Linked DNA regions of Caenorhabditis elegans. The protein of the gene in region 4 purifies or fractionates together with the protein of the main gene of each other region. This does not show direct contact. Each region holds a gene or a part of one and is shown on either strand. Other genes may lie near its edges.

Region 1 (3,874 bases), on a different chromosome or scaffold from region 4:
AGAAATCTCGAAAAAGTAGCCGTTCTTCAAAGGTTCCACATAGAAAGTTCAAGAACGTAGGATCTTTGGTAAGTTGGAAATATTTCTTTACTATTTGAGATAGAACAAAGAATCATATTTAAATTTCAGGATGAAAACGGATGTGTAAATGTCAAAGTAGTTGTCATCGAGAGACCAATCATCCGAGATAAACTCAGGTTTGATTCGTTTTCAGAATGAGCAATTGATAAGTAAGTTCCAGACCGATTGCTTTCATTGACAGTGTATTGTCTGCTCATGTGAAGAGCATTCTAATCAATGTCCTTCATGAGAACTACGAAGGTCTACCAGCGGAACAACTGATCAAATCAACTAATGTTCTTTTTGCTTTCCTTGATAAGAACGGCGTACAGAAACTTCGACGTGTTCGGAAAAGTGACGTTGATCACTAACAGTTTTACAATTTACCAAAACTGTAAGTAATCATATTCCTCTAGTCCTGATAAATATGCAACAAACTTTATTTCAGCCGTGGCAGTGTCGTTCTGGTTCTGGATCTGATTGGCTTTGTCGAAAAGGGGAAGAAGATTCCAATTCAAATCGACATGGATGAAGAATAAAACTTTGCCATTTTATTAAAACACCTGATAAATGAATTATAAGGCACATTTTGGGAACATTTGACAAAAAAAACAACACCAAAAGAAAAATTTCGAATAATAGGGATGCTCGAGGACGGGGAATGGGGAGCAAAACAAAGAACAATTTGATATACTATAAACCAGGGGACTGGGAAATTGAAAGCAGAGAAAGTTGGGATCACAGATTATTTTATCAGTTTAATGGTACTTGCAAACAGATGGCACTGTGCATCCGTGCTTCTTGATGATTTCTTGAGCAGCATAAGATCCACAGGTGACTGAAGCTTCGACTCCCTTTCCTTGGATGAATTGAGAAAGGAAACCTCCGACAAAAGCGTCTCCGGCACCGTTGGTATCGACGATTTCTTCCTTTGGAAGACGAGTTACTGGGAATTCGGTGACCTGTAGATTAAAATTGAAAACAATAAATTCAAAAATTATCAAAAACTCTCACCTTATCTCCTTCCACGACGATGACTGGCTCTGGTCCTTGAGTGAAAACAACGAGTCTTGGCTTAGTAGATTTCTTTGGAAGTGCAGCAGCCTTCAAAGCGATCTCCTTGACACAGGTGGTCTCCCATCCATTGGCTTTAGCAAAGGCAGCAGCTTCGTCTTCGTTTCCGAAAAGAACATCGACCAATGGAATGATTTCCGAGAGCTTATCGAAGAAAAATTGGGAGATGAACGGGGCGGAGAGGTTAAGGGTGAAAGTCTTGTTGAATTCGGCAGAGTGGCTTGCGAGTTGGAGAATAGCTGGTGGGCAGACAGTGATGAAGAATCCCTGAAAATTTTACATTGAGAATACTTTTGTGCTTATTTGTAAATCAATTCGATAACTTACAGTGACATAGAAATATTTGGCCTGCTCGATGATCTTCTGATTCTCCTCCTTCTGGAGATGATCTTGAGTGAAGGTGTTAGCAGCAGCCAAATGAGCACAGAGTGATCTGAAATCATTTCAACACGGCAACGATGATTTTTCTGTCCGTCAAACAATGATCCGCTTACCTATGAGTTCCGTTGATGAGGGCTGCGCAGGTACCGGTCTTAACTGTCTCGTTGATCTGATAATGCACATTCACTCCAGCTTCTTTGGCTTTCGATGCCAAAAGATCTCCGTACTGATCTTTACCAACAGCTCCAAAGAAAACTGTTCGGTTTGGTGCGTTCAAAATCCATTGAGCAACACGGAGCGAATTCTGTGCGGCTCCTCCTGGAATGTACTCGACTTTGAAATCTCTGGTAAGCTCGGTGAACATGTCATTGTGCTTGTCGTCGCAAAGAATGGCGTCGTTTTCTTTGAGTCCCCATTTGTCAAGGAATGCCTGTAGATTTCAGCAATTAAAATGAAATATTTTTGAATGTGCTTCTAGATTTCTAGAGAAATCAAAAACTTACCTTTTCAACGGTGGTTTGAATGTCCAACAATGGATTGCACATTCCGATGAGGGTGTTTTCTGGCAGAGGAGACATTTCCGTGACGTGAGGAGATGGGATTACCTGCAGATAGACAATTAGAAAATGAAAAGTGAGAAAAAGGCGAGTTTTGAACGAGTAAATAGACATAAGAGAAAACAAATAAGAAGATTGGCAAAGAAAGAGTGCGAAAAAACCGTTTTCGTGCTTTTTTGAACACGAATAACGCTGTAAAGCCAAGATATTTTGTGTTTTAGGACAATACATTTCCACGAAATCCACGTTGTAATTTGAAATTCCGGCCGAAAGACATTTTTGATAAACAACGATCGCATGGGATATCGGAGTGTCGTTGCAACGTGTTTTAAGATTTTATCGATCATAAATCTTTGCTGACAGAAGCGGAAAGTTTTTAAAACACCGTTGCTATCTTAAAAAACATGAACGTTTAAAAAAACCAAGAATAAAATTTGCAAGTTTCTAAATGTGGAAGTACCTCCTTCAAACACAAATTAGTGAATGCTATTTTGAATAATATTTTGAATAATATATTAATAATGGCTGATTGTTTGATGAATACTGTGTATTTCTTTTCCAATTCTACGATTTTAAAGTGGGAAGCAGTTATGCGGAATGGTCTCGCCAAGAGCCGTCTATTGATATATTTTTCTCAATCAATGGCTGGCGCGTGGCGAGACCAATCCGCATAAATGCTCCTCCCTTTAAAATCGTAGAACTTGAAAAATTCATAGTAAAAATACGATTTTCGAAAGTGGGAGCGATGAGTTTCCAGAAAAGTGAACGATCAGGCGTGGAAATTCAAATGTAATAAGATAACTTATTAGAACTTGGACAAAAATGAGAATGAGTTACACACAAAGTACACGATTCTGATGAGAAATGCGCCTTCCAACTAGCCTATCTTCTATTTTATCGTCCATTACTCCCCAGTCTGTCTGCAGTTTCTAAAAGATCTCCGCTATTTCGTTATCGGTTTTTTGACCGGCAAATTGTGACACTGATAGTATCTACCGATATGCCATCTAGCCTCAGAACAAGAAAAGTTGGCTAACTTGCGGTGGTGGTTTGAACGAGACAATTTACAAGTTATGTTCAATTTAGAAAACAATTTTAGTTGTCAATGGCTTTTAAACCTAGCAATTACATTAAAGTCTATTGCAAACAGTTTAAAATTGAAACTAAGCCTGAATAAACAGACACAGTGCGTAATGCAATTTTCATGTGGAAGTTGCAAAAAAGATAGAAAAAAGAGAAGAAACTACAACGGCAACTGTTATGAAAAAACCGATTGATTTCCATTGTGTTCTATGAACAGAAGGTGTCTCCTGCACATAAGTTCTCAAAATGAGAAAAATTTTCGAAAATGGCCTGATTGAAAGTTGATAGTCGATCAATTAATGATCTATTGGGGTTTCTATGTGGAGTAATATAGAAGTTGTACTCATATTTATTGGCAGTAGTTAAACAATTACCTATATACTCCGAAAAGTAAAAACTACAAAGTTTTTTTCGTACCCACGTTGTGAGTTGATACTCAGCTAATAGGTGAATTTTCATATTCTCCTTCACTGCACTATTCACTATATATATAATAGATAGCCGTTATAGAGCATTATTTTCTATGAAAATTAAACATTTAAATCTTTTTACTTATTGTAAATAAATACTTTTAAAACCTACGTTTTGAAGAACTTGCATATTTCAATTAAATGAAAAAACGTGTTACAGATTTAATATTGCCACTGGAGATTTAGTCTCAATAAACTCCAAGTAGTCTAACATGGCCGCACATTAGTAAATTGCCAAAATTGGCCAAA
Region 2 (4,477 bases), on a different chromosome or scaffold from region 4:
AGGTGTGTCTCCATTCTATCCTGCAGATGGAAACCCATCAAATCCGTTCCCACCTATATATAAGTAAGCTAGTATATCTATTTTCCTTTACCTCAAAATCCTATTCGTGAAATTTCAGAGCTCGTCCTCTACCTCTTCATGTCCCAGAGCCACAAGACGTCGTAGCCGTTCCATTAGATGAAGAAGCTCTTCACGGAGAACCACTATTCCCGCCAGAGCTCATTCTTCCGAGTGAACTGGCTGCAGAAGAAGCGGCAAAGAAAAAGGCTTTGGAGACAAAGAAACCTGAGAATCCATTTGCTGACGTTGTTGAAACCAATGAGCAGTTGGATACTGTACATTGGCCAACGGCAGTGAGTACATCAGAGATAGAAGGAGAGGACTCACAGGGAAAGAATATGGTTCAAGGTTTTCAATTTTATTTTTCTAAATACTTAAAGTTGAATAATTTTCAGAAGATGAACCACAACGCTCAGTAATAATCGATGAAGCGAGAGAGAAACCCATGCAGCCATTTGAAGCAGCCAAGATATCAATTGGTGCGAACGACCGGCCGAAGAACCCATTCCGGTCCCGACGAATTCTCATGGAGAGGTTCTAAATACTTTTATTTAAATAATTTATTTCCAATAATATTAACAAAAATGTAAATAAACGAATTTTCAATAAACCAGAGATTATTTGGAGATCAATGTTCATTTGTTGCCGGTTTTCTATACCAGAATCGAGCACGATGATCGTCACTTCCTGTCATGAATGCTGGCATGGATGGGGAATGAACGAAAGTTCGGCACGCTGATGTGTGTCCTAGAGCAAGAAGTCGCTTTCTGTCGGAATTGCGAGCATCCCACGAGCACATGCTTCCACTCTTCTCGTCTGGGAATAACACTGAAATTTTTATTAAACAGTTTTTATTACATTATGATATTCTTACTTCGCTCTCGAAAAGCAAAAAAAAATCTCCAGAATTTGCAATTTGTTCCAATAATATTTTTTGAAAGCCAGAGAAAAATATAATCGATTCTCGAGATTTTTTTAGAAACACTCTTCGACGCGTTATTAACGAAAACAGTTAAGAACTAACCGTAATCTTCATTGTGGTTAAATGAAGCGTTTGTGGCAAAATCCTGTGCTCCAGTAGCTCCTGCTCCCGTATAGACAATCAAACACCGATTAGTACTCAGTTCCCATAGTTTCACAATACTATCCATTCCACTTGTTAATATGTATTTTCCATTCTTTGTAAATTTGGCTGAGCAGATTGATGAACCATCGTGAGCTCTTTTGAATGTCTCTACACATCTGTTTGACACACCATCCCATATCTTTACGTGCCCATCCTTTGAAGCCGTTACATAGAGCCGTGCATTTTCAGAATAATGAACATCTGTTACAGATTCAGTATGTTGATCATCTGGATTCGCTGAAGCATATGCCTGAGCTGTTTCAATGTTGTAGAGACGAACAGTAGGATGATCCGTTGCAACAAGAAGAAATTCACCACCTGGGTGACACGAGAGTGCACGCACTGGGTATACTTCCTGTAATTTATTTTTAATATTTATGCTTCAGTTATTTATATTGTTATGATATCAATAATTTTTAGGAATTTCTCGAAATTCGTATATTCTTTTAAATAATTTCCAAATAAACTTTATCTTTTACTTTGTATGTACTTATTCTCAACATTGTGGCTTTATAAACTTCTAAGAAATGTTTTCTTCCAAATCAGAGAACTTACCGACAACGTTTTCATCGCCTTTTTAACAGCAGTTTTTGAGAAATCAAATAACTTCACAGTCTTATCATTCGATCCGGAGATAAGAATTGAGTCTCTTGGATGGAAGATCACAGTATTAACGTCCTAAAAATGCAACTTAGATATTATGAACGTTTTTTTTTTCGAAAAACTAACATCAACATGATCATACAGAGTTCTTATCACCGGATGGTGCGCATCTGGACCATTTTCGTTCATTTCTCTGTGCTCTTTCTCGCGGGCAAGAATTCTCTCAACATCCATAATTTTGATCGAGCAATCTGCTGAACCTGTTGCCACTAAGGAACCATCCGAATTGAACGCTGCTGCTCTACAAGGAGCTTTGTGAACCGTCAAGTAGATGGTCTCATACTCCGATGGCTCGGAAGAAACTGGCTGCACATCAGCGTCGTATTCGAGATCCAAGCCCGAAGAGACGGGTTCGAATTGCATCTTTAAAATACAAAATTATTAGATAGTTTCAGGCATTTTGTGACGTTTTTGTGACCAAATCGTAAAAAATGAAACTTACCGGCGAGGATTTTTCTTCGGCTTTGTAATCTGGATCCTCTACAAATTGCTTTGCAATTGTGACCAGTCTGAACAATTTATCTGAAGGCGGCGGAGCTGGAGCAGAACATCCCAAAGTATTTGCGAGGTTGACGGCAATTTGTTGATGACCATCGTAGAAAAGCTGCCTGAAATAAGTTTTTGAAAGTATGAACTTTTTTAGTTTTGCTTGTTTAGCGCGAGATAACTTACCCAATAATCAGCCGATACATGTATTCACGATCTTTGATATCTGGCTTCATTATTAAAGTATGTTTCCTTGAATAAATATTCGAAAATCCTCAAAGCGCAATAAATTCCTTGCAAAATTTAAACTTATATTAAAGGCGCATGCCGTTTCCCCTGCGGTGGGTCTCGCAGCGATCTCCCCTCAAATCGTAGTCGGCTGCCTCAAACTAAATTTTCCTCGACGTTTTTCTCACTGGCCTAAATTTTTTTAGGAATTTTGTCGGTATTTTTTATTTTCAAGCATGTAATTGTCTCTAACATTAATGAGTTTTCAACCTGCATGTGTGCTCTCCTTGTAATTCGAGAATATTTTTTATTCTCGAATTTGAATTATACTTTCTACCACCGTAATTTTATTATTGTTACATAATATAATATTTATTTTTTCAGGTAATAATGAAGGTCAATCCGTTCGTCTCCAGCGATTCCGGAAAGAGCCGCAAGGCCCACTTCAACGCTCCATCCCACGAGCGCAGACGCATCATGTCTGCCCCACTCACCAAGGAGCTCCGCACCAAGCACGGAATCCGTGCTATTCCAATCAGGTTGGTTTTTTTAAATAGAAAAACTTTACTGTTTCCATTAAGTAGTCCCGTACGTTGAAATTTTCACGTACGGTTTGGACAATATGGAGAAATGAATGTTACTCTTTTTGCAATGACGCTGAAACATATTTTCGCTTTGTTAGCCATAAGTTTAAAACAATTTTTGATTTCAGAACCGATGATGAGGTCGTCGTTATGCGCGGACGCCATAAGGGAAACACTGGACGTGTCCTCAGATGCTACCGTAAGAAGTTCGTTATCCACATCGACAAGATCACCCGCGAGAAGGCTAACGGATCCACTGTGCACATCGGAATCCACCCTTCGAAGGTGAGGTTTGTATAAACTAGTTCCGGTGCACATCGACTCATCACAACTGTCAGGTTTGTGAGTTCCATGATTCTTAATGTTGCATTCGGACTAGGAAAAGTTTATTATATTTTGAAGTGACCGAGTTCGTTCTTTAACCCAAATTATGTTCAGGTCGCTATCACCAAGCTGAAGCTCGATAAGGATCGTCGTGCCCTCGTTGAGCGCAAGGCTGCCGGACGTTCCCGCGTCACTGGAATCCTCAAGGGAAAGCACACTGACGAGACCGTCAACTAAATTGTTATTAATTACAAATAAATTGTTGATTCTTTTCCATTTGTTTTGGCTTCGATTCATTTTCAAAGAAAATATTTTAATGCTATCTGGAAATTCCAGTAATAAGTAAACAAGAGTAATAGTACAGAAAAAGCTATTTAAAGGGTCTTCTATCCATTTGAGAAAATGTATCTGATGTTTTGGCGAGTTTCCTCATTTTCCACTTTCGGTCTGCATTGCGCGTCAAATTTGATGCACTGTGTTTGCACAATTTCACATTCTATGAAATTATCCTTGATTTGAACAAGATAGTATTGCTATTTATTTTCAGAAGATGTCTGGGTTGAGCATGCGTAACCCAGAGCGTCGGATTGAAACAAATCCATTCGACGTAGACGCGTGGAATTTACTGCTCCGAGAACATCAGGTAGACATTTGACAACAAATTGAATCGACGTCTATTCCGTTCATTTTTCAGTCACGACCGATTGACCAAGAACGAGATTTTTACGAAAGTCTTGTAAAACAATTTCCTAACTCCGGACGGTACTGGAAAGCTTACATCGAGCACGAGGTATTACAAAATAGAAATTAGAAAAATAAAAATGATTAAAGTTTTCAGCTTCGTTCCAAAAATTTCGAAAATGTGGAGAAGGTAATTTATCCCGGTATTTGATAAATTTAATAGTTTTCTTTTTCAGTTATTCAGTAGATGTCTTGTGTCTGTTCTCAACATAGATCTGTGGAAATGCTATATTCATTACGTATTCGAAACGAAAGGACAGAGGGA
Region 3 (6,845 bases), on a different chromosome or scaffold from region 4:
TTAAAGTTTGAAATTTTTGAAAACGTGTAGGACGTCAGTTTGAATAGCACATTTTCATAATATTTTTGAATATTTTGATTTTAACTTTTTGAAAAAAAAAACATTTAAATAAAAGATATAGGACAAAAAACTTTTCTGTAAATTAATTAATTTATCTTGGAAAAAATTAGATCTTCAACAAACTTTTACATTTTCCAAATTTGTTTGTTTGTTGATTTTTTTCTAAAGTTAATCAATTAATGCGCAAAAACACTATTTTAAATAAAAGAGGATGGAACTTATTAATTGAATTATTTGCTCCTTACTTGATTGCTGAGATTTCAATCAAGTACATAGTTAGAGTACTGCAAAAATTGTGCCCGAAAGTATATGTTAACTTCTTTATAATTTTTTCATAAAACGCCATATTATGTATTGAGGGTAGTTGTCAACGTGAAACAAAACCACTGCAAAGTACCTACCAAAAATTGTGACAATACTCTCGAGCATCGATGTAACATCTTCTATTGAAAAATTTAATTCGGAAAATTGAGAAAAAACAACCAATTATTAAAAATTAAGTAAAAAAACTTTACATATTGAACAAAAGTTATTTGAAATCTGAATTAATATTAACCGAAAATATTCATTCACATCATGGCAATGCCAAAAGTCCCGAAAAAATTCAGAATCTTCACAATTTTCTAAACACAATCTAGTGAATAGAGTGGTTAACTGCATAAGTTTGAATGGAGTGGTATGTAATACAAACAAGAAATAAAGATACAAAAAATGAGGAGAAGTAAATGGAAACAAAGTTGACAGGTAAGAAAAAATAATTCAATTTAAGTGATCAAGGGAATAATTATTATTCGACAAAAATAATGTTATTCTGTCCGCCCAAACCGTTTGGCACCTGTTGATAGTCGCTCGACGTCGCCCATTCGCCATTGATCATGAATCGGAACTCGTGTCTAAAATTATTACTTGAAATTTGTGTTTTGAATTTGAATGTTGTTACCTTCCACGCGTCAAATTGACCGTGACTCCTTTCTTGCCGCTAACCAGTTTCTCGCATTTCAATGTGCATTTCCAGTTGATAAAACTTCCCTGAAAAATCAAATGAAGACCTATTTGGCAAAAAAAAACTTACCGTCAAGTAAACTTCCTGCTCTGTGTTCGAAATGGTCAACGTTACATTTCTTCCTTCGTTAGCTCCCCCAAAAATGAATGGATTGGCTCCGGCGAATGGCAGGGCTGAGACAAGTGGGATGGATGGGATGGCTCCGGTGAAACATGGCTGGTTACTTCCGCTGCAAATACTTGGAATAGTGATATCAAGAGAACCACTGGTATAACTTACTTGGCAAGGTTCCAAGTTCCTTGGTTGCTTTGGCTAATGGTGAATCCGTCGGTGGGAATGGTCATGGTGCTGGAGTGACTCCTAAATTATTGGAATTTCGATTTCGAATGAAATATTGCTTTGGATGAGGAACACTATATTCACACCGTCAAATACACTGTACACTCGTTTCAATTTTTAAAAATTAAATAAGAAAAACAAAACATAGTTAGTATTGTTTTCAATTCAACTACTCCGCAAATTTCAGAAAAAAAAATATAAAGTGCATTGCTTTCCAGACGTTAAGTTACAAGTAGTTCAATAAAATCTGTATTCCTTACCTCACTTCCTGTATTAACCTAAAAATGAAATATGAAAAAATTCTTTAAAGTTTCCTATCTGTTATTTTGAAAATTTATTCAGTTTTTGATTTTTATAAAGTCCTTTTTTGGGTAATTCTAGAAAGTGATCAAAGATGTTCATGCAATTTTTCGTTTTTATTTTTATGTAATGAAATGATTTACAAGCGCCGTTTTTGATATTTTAAATTCATGAAACATTCAATCTCGTATTGCTCTGACCCCAACTCCAAAGAAAACTCACTGATCATTAAGGCTTTGAATCTTCGAGTTTGCCGTGTCAAGCAAATTTCTCTGTAGGGCAACAGAGGATTCCAACTCGCCGACCTTCCACTTTGCATCGTTCCACCATTGGGAGAGCTCACCGAGACGCCACTCCAGCTTGCTCTTCTCTTCGTTGATCTCCCAGACACGCTTCTCGCTGTCCTTCAGCATTTTTTCAGCGTGTGAGGTGTCTGCTCTGGCCCTGAAAGAAAACCCTAAATTAAAAATTGCTTGTCATTTCAATGCCTTACTTCAATTGTTCAGTGATTCCCTTCAAATATCCGTTCTCCTGTTCCAACTTGCCGACACGTTCGTTCGCGTACCAGTTAGCCTCCTGGAGCTGTTGCTTCTCAGCCTCAGCTTGACGAATTGAATTGTTGGCCAAGCCGAGTTTAACCTCTAGTGCTCTGACGGCGGTACTCTTCACTTCTTCATGAGCGTCGGAGTTGAGTTGATTCTCTAAGAATGTTACCCTAAAATAATTTTTTTTCCGATTAACTCTTGAACTTTTAAATGTTTTACTTGTCTTTTGCGTTCTTCAAATAATCTTGATTCTCGGAGAATTTGGTCTCAAGATCCTTATTTTTCGATTCAACAGTGGCCAACTTGTTTCGAAGCTCTTCAATGACATTGTGCAAGTTGCTGAAAGAACTAATTAAATAATAACGTGAAATGTGCATTTTGATTATCATACTTGATTTCTTCATCGTGATCCTGGGATCGTTTCTCGTCGATTTCCGAATCAATTCGAACGAATTTCTCTTCAGAATCAGCCGATTGGGCGGATTCCAACTTTTTCTCAAGATTTTTGACTTTAAGTTGAGCGGCTGACAAGTCGGATTTGTATTCTTTCACTCTGTTAAGTTGAAAAATTAAAAAAAAATTTAAACATATTGAGAAATTAGGGTTATTACCTAATTTTCAGCTCATCATTTCGGTTTCTCAGCTTTTCCAGCTGTCGGTCGTTCTTTTCCTTTTCGGAGTCTCTTCCCTCGCTCTCCTCGCTGATATTCACATTTTCAGGCTGAGCATCAAACTGGCTTCTTGGCTGATTTTTCTTTGAAGTACTACGAGCACGGGTCTTTCCAGCTGCATACACCTTTTGTGACCTTCCACCAAGTCCCGCGGCAGCTAAAATAATGCAAATTCTCTGTTTGTTTCAATTTCGCCGGTCAAATTTGTCACAAATGTACCACTCGGAGACCGACAACATGTTTACAAGTTTGAATTGGACAAAAAATGTCAGATCGCTTTTGAAGCATTTGGAGATTTCACAGTTTACACAGCTGCGATCGTGTTTTGATTGAGCAGGAAAAAAATTAGCTGGTACTTCAAAACTGTTACAAAGCTATGCACTTAAAAAAACACGAAATACTACTTTGGCTTGATGATCAGATTTTTATGTTACTCAGTCAAATATGTCAAAATTTCAAGAATATTAAAACCAATATTTTGAATTGGTAGAACATTAAACAAATTTTATACAGTAATCCATTTTAAATTGCCAGCTCTGGAAAATAGTGGCAACTATTGGGGCAATAAAGAAAATTTTCACTGTTAACGGAAAATTCGTTTTTTTTTTTGAAATGGGCTTCATGTTTGGATTTGCCCCATGCATGATACTCATTCCTAAACGATTTTGCGAATATAGGTCTTTTTAACCCCAAATTCCACGTAAACCAAATAGAACCAATTACCGAAAAGCTTCTGCACAGCTGAAATGTTCTTTTCAAAGGCGTCATTGGCCTTCGAATAGTCGGCAAAATGGGTTCCGTGGCGTGATCCGTGTGCTGCAAGAAAGAAAAACTTAGACACCGTCGCAAATTTATGGTTCTTGTTTTCCAATTAATGTTTTCTCTCGTATCGACAAGTCGTCTCTCACCTAAATGGATAAAAATCGGCACTGAATCCCATCCGTTTGGAGGTGGGTACACCTTGCCGGTGTTGTTGTCGAACCTTGAAATAGAAAAATGTTAAACGTTTTGTTGACTGACTGACTGGAACTTTGGATTTGGATAATGCTAATCGACAATGGGAAAGCAGCAAATGTTGTTCTAATATAATCATATTTCTGCGCGGATTGTCTATTTGTAAACATGTACATGCATGTTCTAAACCGGTTTCGGATTATCAACTGATTTTTGGGAAAATTGTTTACGTTGACCTATCACTTTGAATTAGACAATTCACGTTTCACCTGGTGTTAGGGTTAGGGTTAAAAAGAATTGTAAACTTTGATAAGACATATATACACAGTCATTTTTCATTTTGATGGAACGATGGCGCGCGCAATTCTTTTGTGTTGATCTGAGAACAAACGGTCGAGAATATAATGACTAAATTGACTACGGCAGGTGGCGGTTTCTCCTAATTGGTAACCCAGTGAACCGTTTAAAATGACGGGTATCGGAAGTGACACTTTGCAAGGACTACATCACTTACAGGAGAGCTTTTCTCTCTCCATCATCTCTGTAGTAGAGTCCATGTGCTCCTGGGACCACTGATTGGACGGTGGCAAAGTTTAGAGTGGCGTCCTGATCATGGCTCACTTGAACTGGCTCAATTTCGAGACGCACCCAGTCTGAAACAAAAAATTTGTTGAAAGTGGTATTCCCTACAACGTGTAATATCAACATCAGTGGTGAACCTACTTGCATCTGGGATTTTGGTAGCAACATCCGCCATTCCCCCTGAAAAGAGCAGAAATAGCGATCAGATCAGTTGTTCAAATATCAGATTGAAGAGTTCGTTTGGCTTGATGGCAATGATAACAAAAAGAGAGAAGACACTCGGTATGGAGAGTGTGGGTGTAGAAATAATGTTGAAATTGAAATAACAGGAGACGAGGAACGAGAGAAGTCGATCAAGAAGAGAAACGAGGTGAAGGGGGGCGGCGGGCCAAATACGATATTGATAGAAAGAGAGAAAAACGGAAATAAAATTGATTCTCACATACATCTACGTGTCCAAGCCCGCCATGTTGAGCGATCAGGCCGCCGAGCGCCAACACCGCGAATGAATGCTAAAATTTCGTGCTTGTTGCAGGAGGCACCCTTTGGAGTGAGACGGAACTGTGAGGCGACGAGGAAGAAAAGGAGTGAAGGCGACGGGGCGCGCGCGCGATCGTTGTGAGTGTCAGAGGTCGAGCGCCCAGGAGGGAAAATGAGGAAAAAACACTGAGAAGAAAAATAAGAAGGTCATTTTGAATATGACGGAATAGCCCTATATAATTTTGAAAATCGACTTTATTCTTTGGTGATAAATTTTGACAGTTTGCGGAGGGGTTATAAAAATTAAATAAAAATAAACAAAAATCAGTTATTAAAAATCGACAATTCGTTCTGTTTTCAGGGAATTGTTGCAGAATGTTAGGCAGTCGGAAACCGTATTAATGGTGAATTTTACTGTGAGAAATTTAAAAAATGAATGATGTTTCAATTTGAATGTTTCTATGATAACCATTTGAATCATCAATTTTGTTTTAATGAAATAACTCCTCAACACAGATATTCCTCAATCTATCAAAACACTTCATATATTCTAAATAAAGTTTCCTCACCCAATCTTCATCACAAGTAAATTTTTTTGTGCGCAGGCATTTCCAAGACAACCGCCAAAGATTGCCGAAAACAAAGCGGGAAAAAATCCGACTACTGATGATAATAAAACTTTAGATTGAACGATTTGATTGATAGATATAAAAGTGGGCGTTTGGAAGAAGCAACGCAAAAAAACAATCAACTGAAAGCAAAATTCTTCGAACGATTGTGGTTTCCGATCAAGATGCAGAAATGGACACAAGTTGGTTTTGCAACAAATGATTCGTCTCCCCCTTGGCGTTTTGTGTGTTCTAATTTGGAAGTGCAATGCGATTCAATCACACAGACAAAAGAATTGTCAAAAAAAGGTCACTGGTAGAGGGAACAATCAGGTGTTAGAAGGGATCGCAGCAGTAAACAAAGACTGGACCGACTCTGATAATGGATGAGGCAACTAGTGAACATTTTCCACTCTTCGTGTCTTTTCTGCCCTACTCGTATCAATCAAAGATTTTTGACTCTTAAGATAAAAATAGAAGATCTGGCAACAACTAATGCAAAGAAAAGTACGAAAGAAAAAAAAGACTTTGAATACAACATTTGGGAGGTTCGGATTTCAAAAAACGTTGAGCTAAAAACTCGAAAAATCGCGTTCTTTTCGTTGCTTCTTTTGCGTTTTTTCGGGTGTAAAGTAAAACGAAAGAAGAATCAGCGACTGATAAGAAAACAATTTTTGCGGAAAGAGAGCAAAAAAGAGAAATCTTTGAGGAAGAGAAAAGAGCTAGTGATACCGCAACTTGCAAGGTCCCGTCATGTGTTCCCGCGTTTTTCACGTTCTCACCAAAAACACGTATCAGAATTAATGAGTCTGTTATTAATGTGAAGTTTGCAACAGAGCAGTGCAAAGAATGGATAAATAAGTTAGTCAAGATAGTTCTTATTAAAATTGAACTAAAGCCATTTTTTGGAGCAATAAATCAATACAGCTTTAGTTTACTTCAAAAAACAGAAATACTACGTTTTGCTTCAAACACTGAAAGCTAAGGAATAAGACTTAGTTGCTCTTGAAGCTGCAACTTAGGAGTGCAACTGAATGATTCATAACCACATGTTCAACTTTTCGTTCCTCCCATTTTTCTTTTCGAAAAAAAATTATGGGGGTGTTTGTTAGAGAATGTTCGAGAAGTACAAACACAATTTTGAGGTGTTCGGGGTATCAGCGAACATGTCGGATTATTTGATTACGTTTGCAGCGACGTTTCATGTGTATCAAAGAGTTATCAGTTGATTTGGTTTCGAAAGGAGGAAAAAGAAAAAGGGCAAATAGAGAACCAAGCAAGAACGTCAATCGGAAAGAATGAA
Region 4 (7,373 bases):
AGATGAACCATATTGTTCTCTTCTAACCTCATATCAGAATTTAAATTGAAGTTTTGGTTTTTCAGTAACTAGCATGTCTGCAAAACGTTTACAATTAAAGTATAGAACGAACAAAATTCACTTTTGTTTGAAAATATGTCTCAAAGCAATAATATGTTCGCAAGAAATTGATTAATACATCTTATGTAGACACTTTGGCAGTTTCAGAATACTCTTTTCACAATCCGAGCGCGCCTGTTCCGCACTCCAGTCACGCCCTATCCTCGCGCCAGGCGCATTTCACCTCTTTTCGCGCGCCAGTCGCACCCCCTTCGCGCCCCAGGAGGAGCCAACTACCGAGTAGCTCTTGTGTCGAAAACCGAGCCCGTAAATCGACACTACAGTAGTAATTTAAATAATGACTATAGTTTTGCGCTATGAGATATTTTGCGCGTCAAATATGTTGCGCAGTACGCAGTCTCAGCAGTTTGTGTTGGCGTAATAATACTTTCAACGAAATTCCAGTTCCTCGAGAAAAGCAAGACGACCCACGCACTCGGCCGTCCTGGAACTACATCCGAAGTAGCTGAAGCTATCCTATTCCTGTCCTCTGAGAAGAGCTCATTCACTACTGGACAACTGTTGAAGGTTGATGGTGGTCGAGGAATTATGCATCCGAGATAAAGAATATATGATTTATTGTTTTGAAAATTGAGAATGAAGTAAATTTGTACCAAGCAGACAGACAGAGTATATCATGTATAATACTATTAGTACAATTAGGATTTTAGAATGCTTATATTTAATACCATGAAATGAATGTGTGAGGGGTTTCCGTTTAGAAGTCGTCGAACTTGATTCTGAAATAATATAAAAACTATTAAAAATTTTTTATTATATACACTTACATCTTATATTTCTGTCCCGGTTTCACCGAATCCAGAATATTGAAATATTGATCCGCTTCGTTTCGATTCATGATATGACTGATTATTGGGGTTTCATAATCTTCAGATGGATCTTCGGATGGAAACGCGGAAAAACTGAAAATTAAAAAAAATTTATTTTCTTTAATTTACGACGAACCTTTTGCGTTCAGAATAAGCATTCGGACTATTTTGTGACGGGCGTGGAGCTCGCTGTGGCGACAATCGCCTTGGAGCCGGAACCACAACAGATTCTTGTTGAACATTTGGAGCAACATCTCTTGATCTTGCACTGGGATGCTCTGGCTCACGAACAGATGATGAGCTGATGAAGTGATCGTCTGAAATTAAAAATAAAAAAAAAATTAATTTTCAAACTTTCAAAATTCAGAATTTTCGAGAAAAATTCTTACTGTAAGAATAAGGAACATCAAGCTGTTCATTGTAGTTTTCCTCATCAGAATCTTCTTCGAAATCCAGTGGTTCAGATGCGAATTCGTATTGATCATGATTAGATGGACCTTCTTGATGGACGTCATATTGTTCATCGGTATCTCTCTGCCTGGCGGCGTAGACTTCGGCGTCATTACGGGATATTGTTCTTGCCAAGATTCTGGAAAAATATCTATAGACGCTCATTTAATTTTCGAAATTTCTGGGAACTGCAGAGAATGTTTTGTTTTTTCTGTGAATTTTAATTTTACTATTTTTGAAAAAAAAAACGAAAAATCGAAAAAATTTCGTAGTTCGATTTTTTGATTTTCCCTCAAAAACATCGAAAAATGGAAAAACATAAATTTTTTCGATTTTTGAAAAATCGACTTCTGGTCATTTTGGTATTTTTTCTTCTTTTTAGAATAAAATTTTATGTTTTTTCTCATCAATTTAGACCAAATTAAATTTTTAAAAAATCATAATTTATGGTTAATTTTTCTGGATTTAAAAAAAAAAGGTTTTTCGGAAAAAATTTAAAATCGAAAATTTTCTTTTTCGAAAACATTTCTTCTTTTTAGAATAAATTTTTATGTTTTTTCTCATGATTTTTTTTTTAAAAATCGAAAATCAAAAAAATTTTGATTTTTCTATTTTTGAAAAAAAAAACGAAAAATCAAAAATTTCTGTTTTCGATTTCCAATTTTTCGATTTTCCCTCAAAAATATCGAAAAATCGGAAAAATAAAAAAACGAAAATTTTAGAAAAAACCGACTTTTGGTCATTATGGTTTTTTTTCTTATTTTTAGAATACATTTTTTGTATGTTTTTTTCTCACCAATTTAGACGAAATTAGATTCAAAAAAATCATCTTTTATGGTTAATTTTCAGATTTTTTCTCCGATTTTCCGGATAATCGAAAAATCGAAAATTTTCGATTTTTTTTGAAATCGAGATATCGAAAATTTTTAGTTTTTTCGATTTGTCAAAAATTAGCTTATAATTTTTGGTATTTTCTTCTTTTTAGAATAAATTTTTATGTTTTTTTCTGATCAATTTAAACTTTTTTATGGTTAATTTTCTGAACTTATTTTTTACATTTTTGTATTTTCGGATAATCGAAAAATCGAAAATTTTCGTTTTTCCGTACGTTTGAGGCAAACTTGTGTCACTCCCGTCTTGAATGCAAATCTCATGAACTGGCGGCGAAATCACGAATCCTTGAAGCCGGTTCCCCTTTATTACAGTGAAAAAATTGTCTCTGTAAAATGTGTTTTATCTTGAAAATCACTGCAAAAAATGTTACAATAGTCTTGCATTATGAGCCTTGACGCAATTGTATTTCGTAGGCGATGGTTTATTCTCATGAAAACTGCAGAATAGGTTCAATTCAGTTCTGGGAATGAGAAAATGATATTGAAATTGATTACAAATATCAACATCTCTCCAGACACGGGGGACATCCGTCGGCGCTTTTTCGAGTATTACACTTGTAAAATCCTGAATGCTCAGAATACTAGGAATGATGACTTCTTGGAAGAATGTGATGGCATTGATTCCAGTGTAAGTGGCCAGAGTCTTGATTCCATAATATACAAAATTGAATTGAGCTCGATCGCATAGAATCGGAGATTTCGGATGCTGTTTTAAAAGGTGTTGAAGCCACTCGAAAACTTCATATGGTTCACAGCCATCGGCGGGTCCATTGGGCGAAATTCCCAGTTCGTCGGCTGAAAATTTTAAGCTACTGACCATTTATAGCATTTTTTTGGCAATTTTTCGGCAACATTCGATAAGTTTCGACAACTTTCGACACTATTGCAAAATTTTGACAATTTTTGAGAAGTTTCAAACAACTTTCCACAACTTTTCGAAAATTGTAGAAACTTTCGCCAACTTTCGGCAATTTATGACAACTTTCGGGAAATTTTACAAAGTTTTGGCAACATTCCCCAATTTCTCTTCAATTTTCAGCAAAATTTATAAATTTTGGCAATTTTTGTAAAGTTTCGCCAATTTTCGACAACTATTGCAAAATTTTGGCATTTTTTGAGGAGTTTCAAACAACTTTCCAAAATTTCTGGAAACTCTAGCCAACTTCTGCAAAGGTTTTGACAAAATTCGGTAAGTTTCGCCAATTTTCATTAATACTTTCGCTATTTTTGCAAAGTTTTAGCACCATTGTCCCATTCTCCAATTTTTAAAACAATTTTCAGCAACTTTTATAAATTTTTGCGAACTTTTTGAAAATATTCGGCAATTTTTGACAACTTTCAGTAACTTTCGTCAACTATTGCAAAATTCTGGTAATTTTAGCCAAATTTCGGCAATTTTTGTGAAGTTTTGCCAATTTTCATTTAATTTTCGGCAACTTTTGCTTATTATCGGCAATTTTTGCAAAGTTTTTGGCACCATTCTTCAATTTTTAAAACAATCTTCTGCAACTTTTCGAATTTTTTGCTACCCATTGCTTTTCTAGACAATTCCTCGTGCCCAATGTCATCTGCATCTGGATAAAACCAAGCTGCATCGAATTTGACGAATCTCGATTCATTCTGAATGATTCCATTCTTAAGATTGAATGTTGTAACGGATATCTCTGCAGGATACGATGAAAGCTTATTGATTGATGGTTTGAAGGCGTAGGCAACCGGAAATACTGAAACAATCTGCATTGTGTAGTCCTCGCAAAGCAACGGATTTCCAGGATCATCAGAACGCTGAGCAATGTATGAAGTCATTATTCGTTTCGCCTTTTTGCGATTTGCAAGACAAAACGCGTCGAGATCTTCGGTGATGTGAAGAACGTGATTTATATCTCTTGGCAACGCTATAACACTTGGAGTTTGGCTCAGTGTCTCCAAATGTGCACGTCGGAGCTGTTGGAACTCATCTGGATTTCGGTGGCGCATCTCACGGTTTCTCTGTGCTCTCTGGTGCTTTGTTTTCTGAAAAAAAAAACATAGTTTTTCTTTAAAGGTGGACTACGCTCAGTGGGGAAATTGCTTTAAAACACGCCTATGGTCCCACAATAACCGAATATCATGATTAAAAAATTCAAAAAAATTTTCTAGATTTTATATGATTTTTTGAAAATTGGAAAAATCACAGTTTTCACCTAATTATTTTTGAATTTCCGCCAATTGGATTTTTTCGGTGGAGCGTGCTTGCATTATTTTTTTTTATTAATTTTATTTATTTTCGTTATTTGACTGATTTTCTTCATTTTCTATGTTTTTTCTTCGGAAAATGAAAGAAATAAACAAGAAAATGCGAAATGTTTGTTAAAAATTAACTGAAAATGCGTAAAACTGTGATATTCTGAGTTCTGACGACGAAGAGCCTGAAATTAGAATATTTGACAGATTTAGGAAGTTTCAGTTAATTTTTAGTGATCATTCTTAATTTTTCTTGTTTATTTCTTTCATTTTCCGAAGAAAAAACATAGAAAATGAAGAAAATCAGTGAAATAACGAGAATAAATAAAATTAATTAATGAAAATAATGCAAGCACGCTCCACCGAACAAATCCAATTGGCGGAAATTCAAAAATAATTAGGTGAAAACTGTGATTTTTCCAATTTTCAAAAAATCATATAAAATCTAGAACATTTTTTTGAATTTTTTTATCATGATATTCGGTCATTGTGGGACCATAGGCGTGTTTTAAAGCAATTTCCCCACAGGGTGTAGTAAAATTTTCAATAAAAACCTACAATTACAAGCCCCCGATTTCCGTTGTGCTCGGCAACTTCTCGCTCGAATTTTTGCTTCAAATCAGGGCACATTCCCTGAAATCCGACATATTAGGCTTGAAAATAATAATTTTTCTTTATTTTTTTTACGTGATAATATCTTGTCATAATATCCTTGTCTGCCTGATCATTCTGATTGTATCGGTGGCCTTGCTCGGTCAGAAATCTAAACATCAAAATATCAAAAATCACATTTTCGCAAAATATATTCAGAAATTTTCCTACTTTTTCTGTCCTATCTGGCGTAGGAATAGCATGTAGACACTTTTCTTGCCGTCGACATGTTTTGCAACTGAAATCGGATTTCCGTTCTGGCGCACCGCATCTCCGGAGGTGCCGGCATTATTGGCTCGAATGCCCTCTCTGAAGAGATTTTTTAAAATTAATTGGGACAATATTTAAGGCAAACCTCTGATAATCTCTAAAATTAGATCTGTGATTTGACATATTCATAAAAATCAATTTTAGACGCTGGCAAAAGTCCGCAAAAGTCCTTGAAAATGTGCGCACCACTTGCAAAAATGCCGTGCCAGGGTTGCAATTATCGACTCCGCCCACTATTTCTTTTCGAATATTGAACGTGTTTTTTTCGGATTTTCAACACTTTTTTCTTATTATTTTTCGAAATTTGTGTTTTTTGTGTTTTTTAAATCATTTTTCATATTTTCAGACATTTTAAAATGGAAGAAAACTCGGCAGACATCGAAAACAGGCCGGTGGCGGCATTTCGGCCGGCAGTGTCAGTGCCAATGCCAGTTCTTCCGCAAGATGGAGAGGTAAATACTTTAGATTCGTTCAAATTAATGAAACTTTAAAACAAATTTTATTTTCAGGTGTTCGTAGGACCTGGAGGTAAGAAAGACGCTCAAAAAATTGGCCTTGGTTTATCGAAATTGAGTTCAAAGCGGAAGGATGATATTCAGATGGCGAAAAAGTATGCGATGGACATTTCAATTAAGCAGATTCTTCTTCGTCAGCAGAAACAGCAACAGGAGAATGTTAGTTTTATTTTTAAAAAGTAGAAATTATCGTAATAATCAATAAAATTTCAGCAACAACGGCAGCAAATGTACTCACAAGCTTTATCGATTATGTCCAGAATCTATGTTGGCTCAATCTCATTTGAAATCCGCGAAGATATGCTTCGCAGGGCTTTTGACCCATTTGGACCCATTAAATCTATTAATATGAGCTGGGATCCAGCTACTGGGGTGAGTTTTTAAAAAAGTCTTATTTTATTTTAAAATTCCGAAAGAATTAAGCTAATTTTATCTAAGGTCCTTTATTTTACCAGAAGTTTCCGTGTCAGAGCAGCTGGAAATTATTTTTCATTCGATTTTCATCTTTTATTGCAGATTTTGATAGTTTATCTCAATTTCTATCCAATTTTTGGTCATTTTTTGTCATCTATTGGCTTTAAATTTACTTAAATGAACAACTTAAATAAAAATATGCAATAAAAAAAATGATAATCGAATAAAAATTAATTTCCAAAAGCTGTGACACTTTTTTTTCAAATATTTGATGTTTTAAACGGAAGTTTTATTACGAATTGAGCATATTTTTAGTCTTAAATTAATAAATATTTCATTTTCAGCACCACAAAACGTTCGCATTTGTTGAATACGAAGTCCCAGAAGCCGCACTTCTTGCTCAAGAATCGATGAATGGTCAGATGCTCGGTGGACGTAATCTTAAAGTTAATTCGATGATGTTCCAGGAGATGAGATTGCCACAAAATATGCCACAGGCTCAGCCGATTATTGATATGGTTCAGAAGGATGCGAAGAAATATTTCAGGTAAAATGAGAAATTACTAGTTTAATTATTTTATTTAAAGTCATTTAAAAAATTTGGTGCTTTAAATGACAGAAAAAAGTAGAGACCGAATATAACTGGTTAAAAAAGTTTCTAAATTTTTTATTATTTTTTCAATTTTCAAAAATCAAAGAAACGTCCGAATTAAATTTGAATTCCCGCGCAAAGTTATTTTCGATATTTTGGCGTTTTCGGGCTAAAAACATCGGTTTACTTGGTTTGTCAGTTTTTCAGATTTTTCAGACACTTATCCGTGAATAAAATTCGATTACCCGAAAGTGGCGGAAATTTCAAAATTTGCCTAAAAATCGACAATTTAATAGTTATTTATAATTTTTGTTTCGGAAAAGTATTTCAAAATTTGAAAAAAAAACACAATTTAAAGGTGGACCACGCTTTAAAACACGCCTATGGTCCCACAATAACCGAATATCATGATTAAAAAATTCAAAAAAATGTTCTA

The links.
Region 1: the proteins of rde-10 (region 4) and adk-1 purify together in Caenorhabditis elegans (affinity purification with mass spectrometry, with the first as the bait; one large-scale study listed by BioGRID). This does not show direct contact.
Region 2: the proteins of rde-10 (region 4) and cpf-1 purify together in Caenorhabditis elegans (affinity purification with mass spectrometry, with the first as the bait; one large-scale study listed by BioGRID). This does not show direct contact.
Region 3: the proteins of rde-10 (region 4) and F46H5.7 purify together in Caenorhabditis elegans (affinity purification with mass spectrometry, with the first as the bait; one large-scale study listed by BioGRID). This does not show direct contact.

Annotation. Positions count from the first base shown.
Region 1 is NC_003282.8:11,208,712-11,212,585, forward strand, and holds adk-1 (Adenosine kinase), read right to left. Parts: upstream 2,121-3,874; 5' UTR 2,094-2,120; coding exon 2,019-2,093; intron 1,946-2,018; coding exon 1,629-1,945; intron 1,568-1,628; coding exon 1,462-1,567; intron 1,402-1,461; coding exon 1,075-1,401; intron 1,023-1,074; coding exon 819-1,022; 3' UTR 598-818; downstream 1-597. Other genes in the region: R07H5.9 (Kinesin motor domain-containing protein), read left to right, coding at 1-68, 130-197, 242-431.
Region 2 is NC_003280.10:8,599,840-8,604,316, forward strand, and holds cpf-1 (Cleavage stimulation factor 50 kDa subunit), read right to left. Parts: upstream 2,602-4,477; 5' UTR 2,572-2,601; coding exon 2,522-2,571; intron 2,458-2,521; coding exon 2,292-2,457; intron 2,213-2,291; coding exon 1,916-2,212; intron 1,865-1,915; coding exon 1,742-1,864; intron 1,542-1,741; coding exon 1,085-1,541; intron 889-1,084; coding exon 689-888; 3' UTR 610-688; downstream 1-609. Other genes in the region: F28C6.5 (Amelotin), read left to right, coding at 1-63, 119-408, 456-601; rpl-26 (Large ribosomal subunit protein uL24), read left to right, coding at 2,954-3,102, 3,276-3,432, 3,586-3,708; suf-1 (Suppressor of forked domain-containing protein), read left to right, coding at 4,022-4,114, 4,166-4,261, 4,310-4,342, 4,389-4,477.
Region 3 is NC_003284.9:7,238,163-7,245,007, forward strand, and holds F46H5.7 (AMPK1_CBM domain-containing protein), read right to left. Parts: upstream 4,822-6,845; 5' UTR 4,630-4,821; coding exon 4,596-4,629; intron 4,526-4,595; coding exon 4,387-4,525; intron 3,901-4,386; coding exon 3,827-3,900; intron 3,735-3,826; coding exon 3,642-3,734; intron 3,076-3,641; coding exon 2,859-3,075; intron 2,801-2,858; coding exon 2,639-2,800; intron 2,587-2,638; coding exon 2,467-2,586; intron 2,418-2,466; coding exon 2,196-2,417; intron 2,147-2,195; coding exon 1,925-2,146; intron 1,681-1,924; coding exon 1,663-1,680; intron 1,424-1,662; coding exon 1,343-1,423; intron 1,302-1,342; coding exon of another isoform or gene 1,293-1,301; coding exon 1,133-1,292; intron 1,090-1,132; coding exon 1,001-1,089; intron 954-1,000; coding exon 848-953; 3' UTR 504-847; downstream 1-503. Other genes in the region: putative arginine kinase F46H5.3, read right to left, coding at 462-500.
Region 4 is NC_003279.8:3,545,294-3,552,666, reverse strand, and holds rde-10 (RNA interference defective protein 10), read right to left. Parts: upstream 5,597-7,373; 5' UTR 5,540-5,596; coding exon 5,502-5,539; intron 5,456-5,501; coding exon 5,318-5,455; intron 5,259-5,317; coding exon 5,183-5,258; intron 5,129-5,182; coding exon 5,054-5,128; intron 4,286-5,053; coding exon 3,802-4,285; intron 3,068-3,801; coding exon 2,644-3,067; intron 2,599-2,643; coding exon 2,488-2,598; intron 1,519-2,487; coding exon 1,319-1,518; intron 1,247-1,318; coding exon 1,066-1,246; intron 1,023-1,065; coding exon 888-1,022; intron 840-887; coding exon 818-839; 3' UTR 664-817; downstream 1-663. Other genes in the region: Y47G6A.21 (DeHydrogenases, Short chain), read left to right, coding at 505-663; Poly(U)-binding-splicing factor rnp-6, read left to right, coding at 5,773-5,868, 5,926-6,090, 6,145-6,303, 6,690-6,892. UniProt on the Caenorhabditis elegans protein: In complex with rde-11, required in the endogenous and exogenous siRNA pathway for biogenesis and accumulation of secondary small interfering RNA (siRNA) intermediates, such as 22G-siRNAs derived from ergo-1 targets.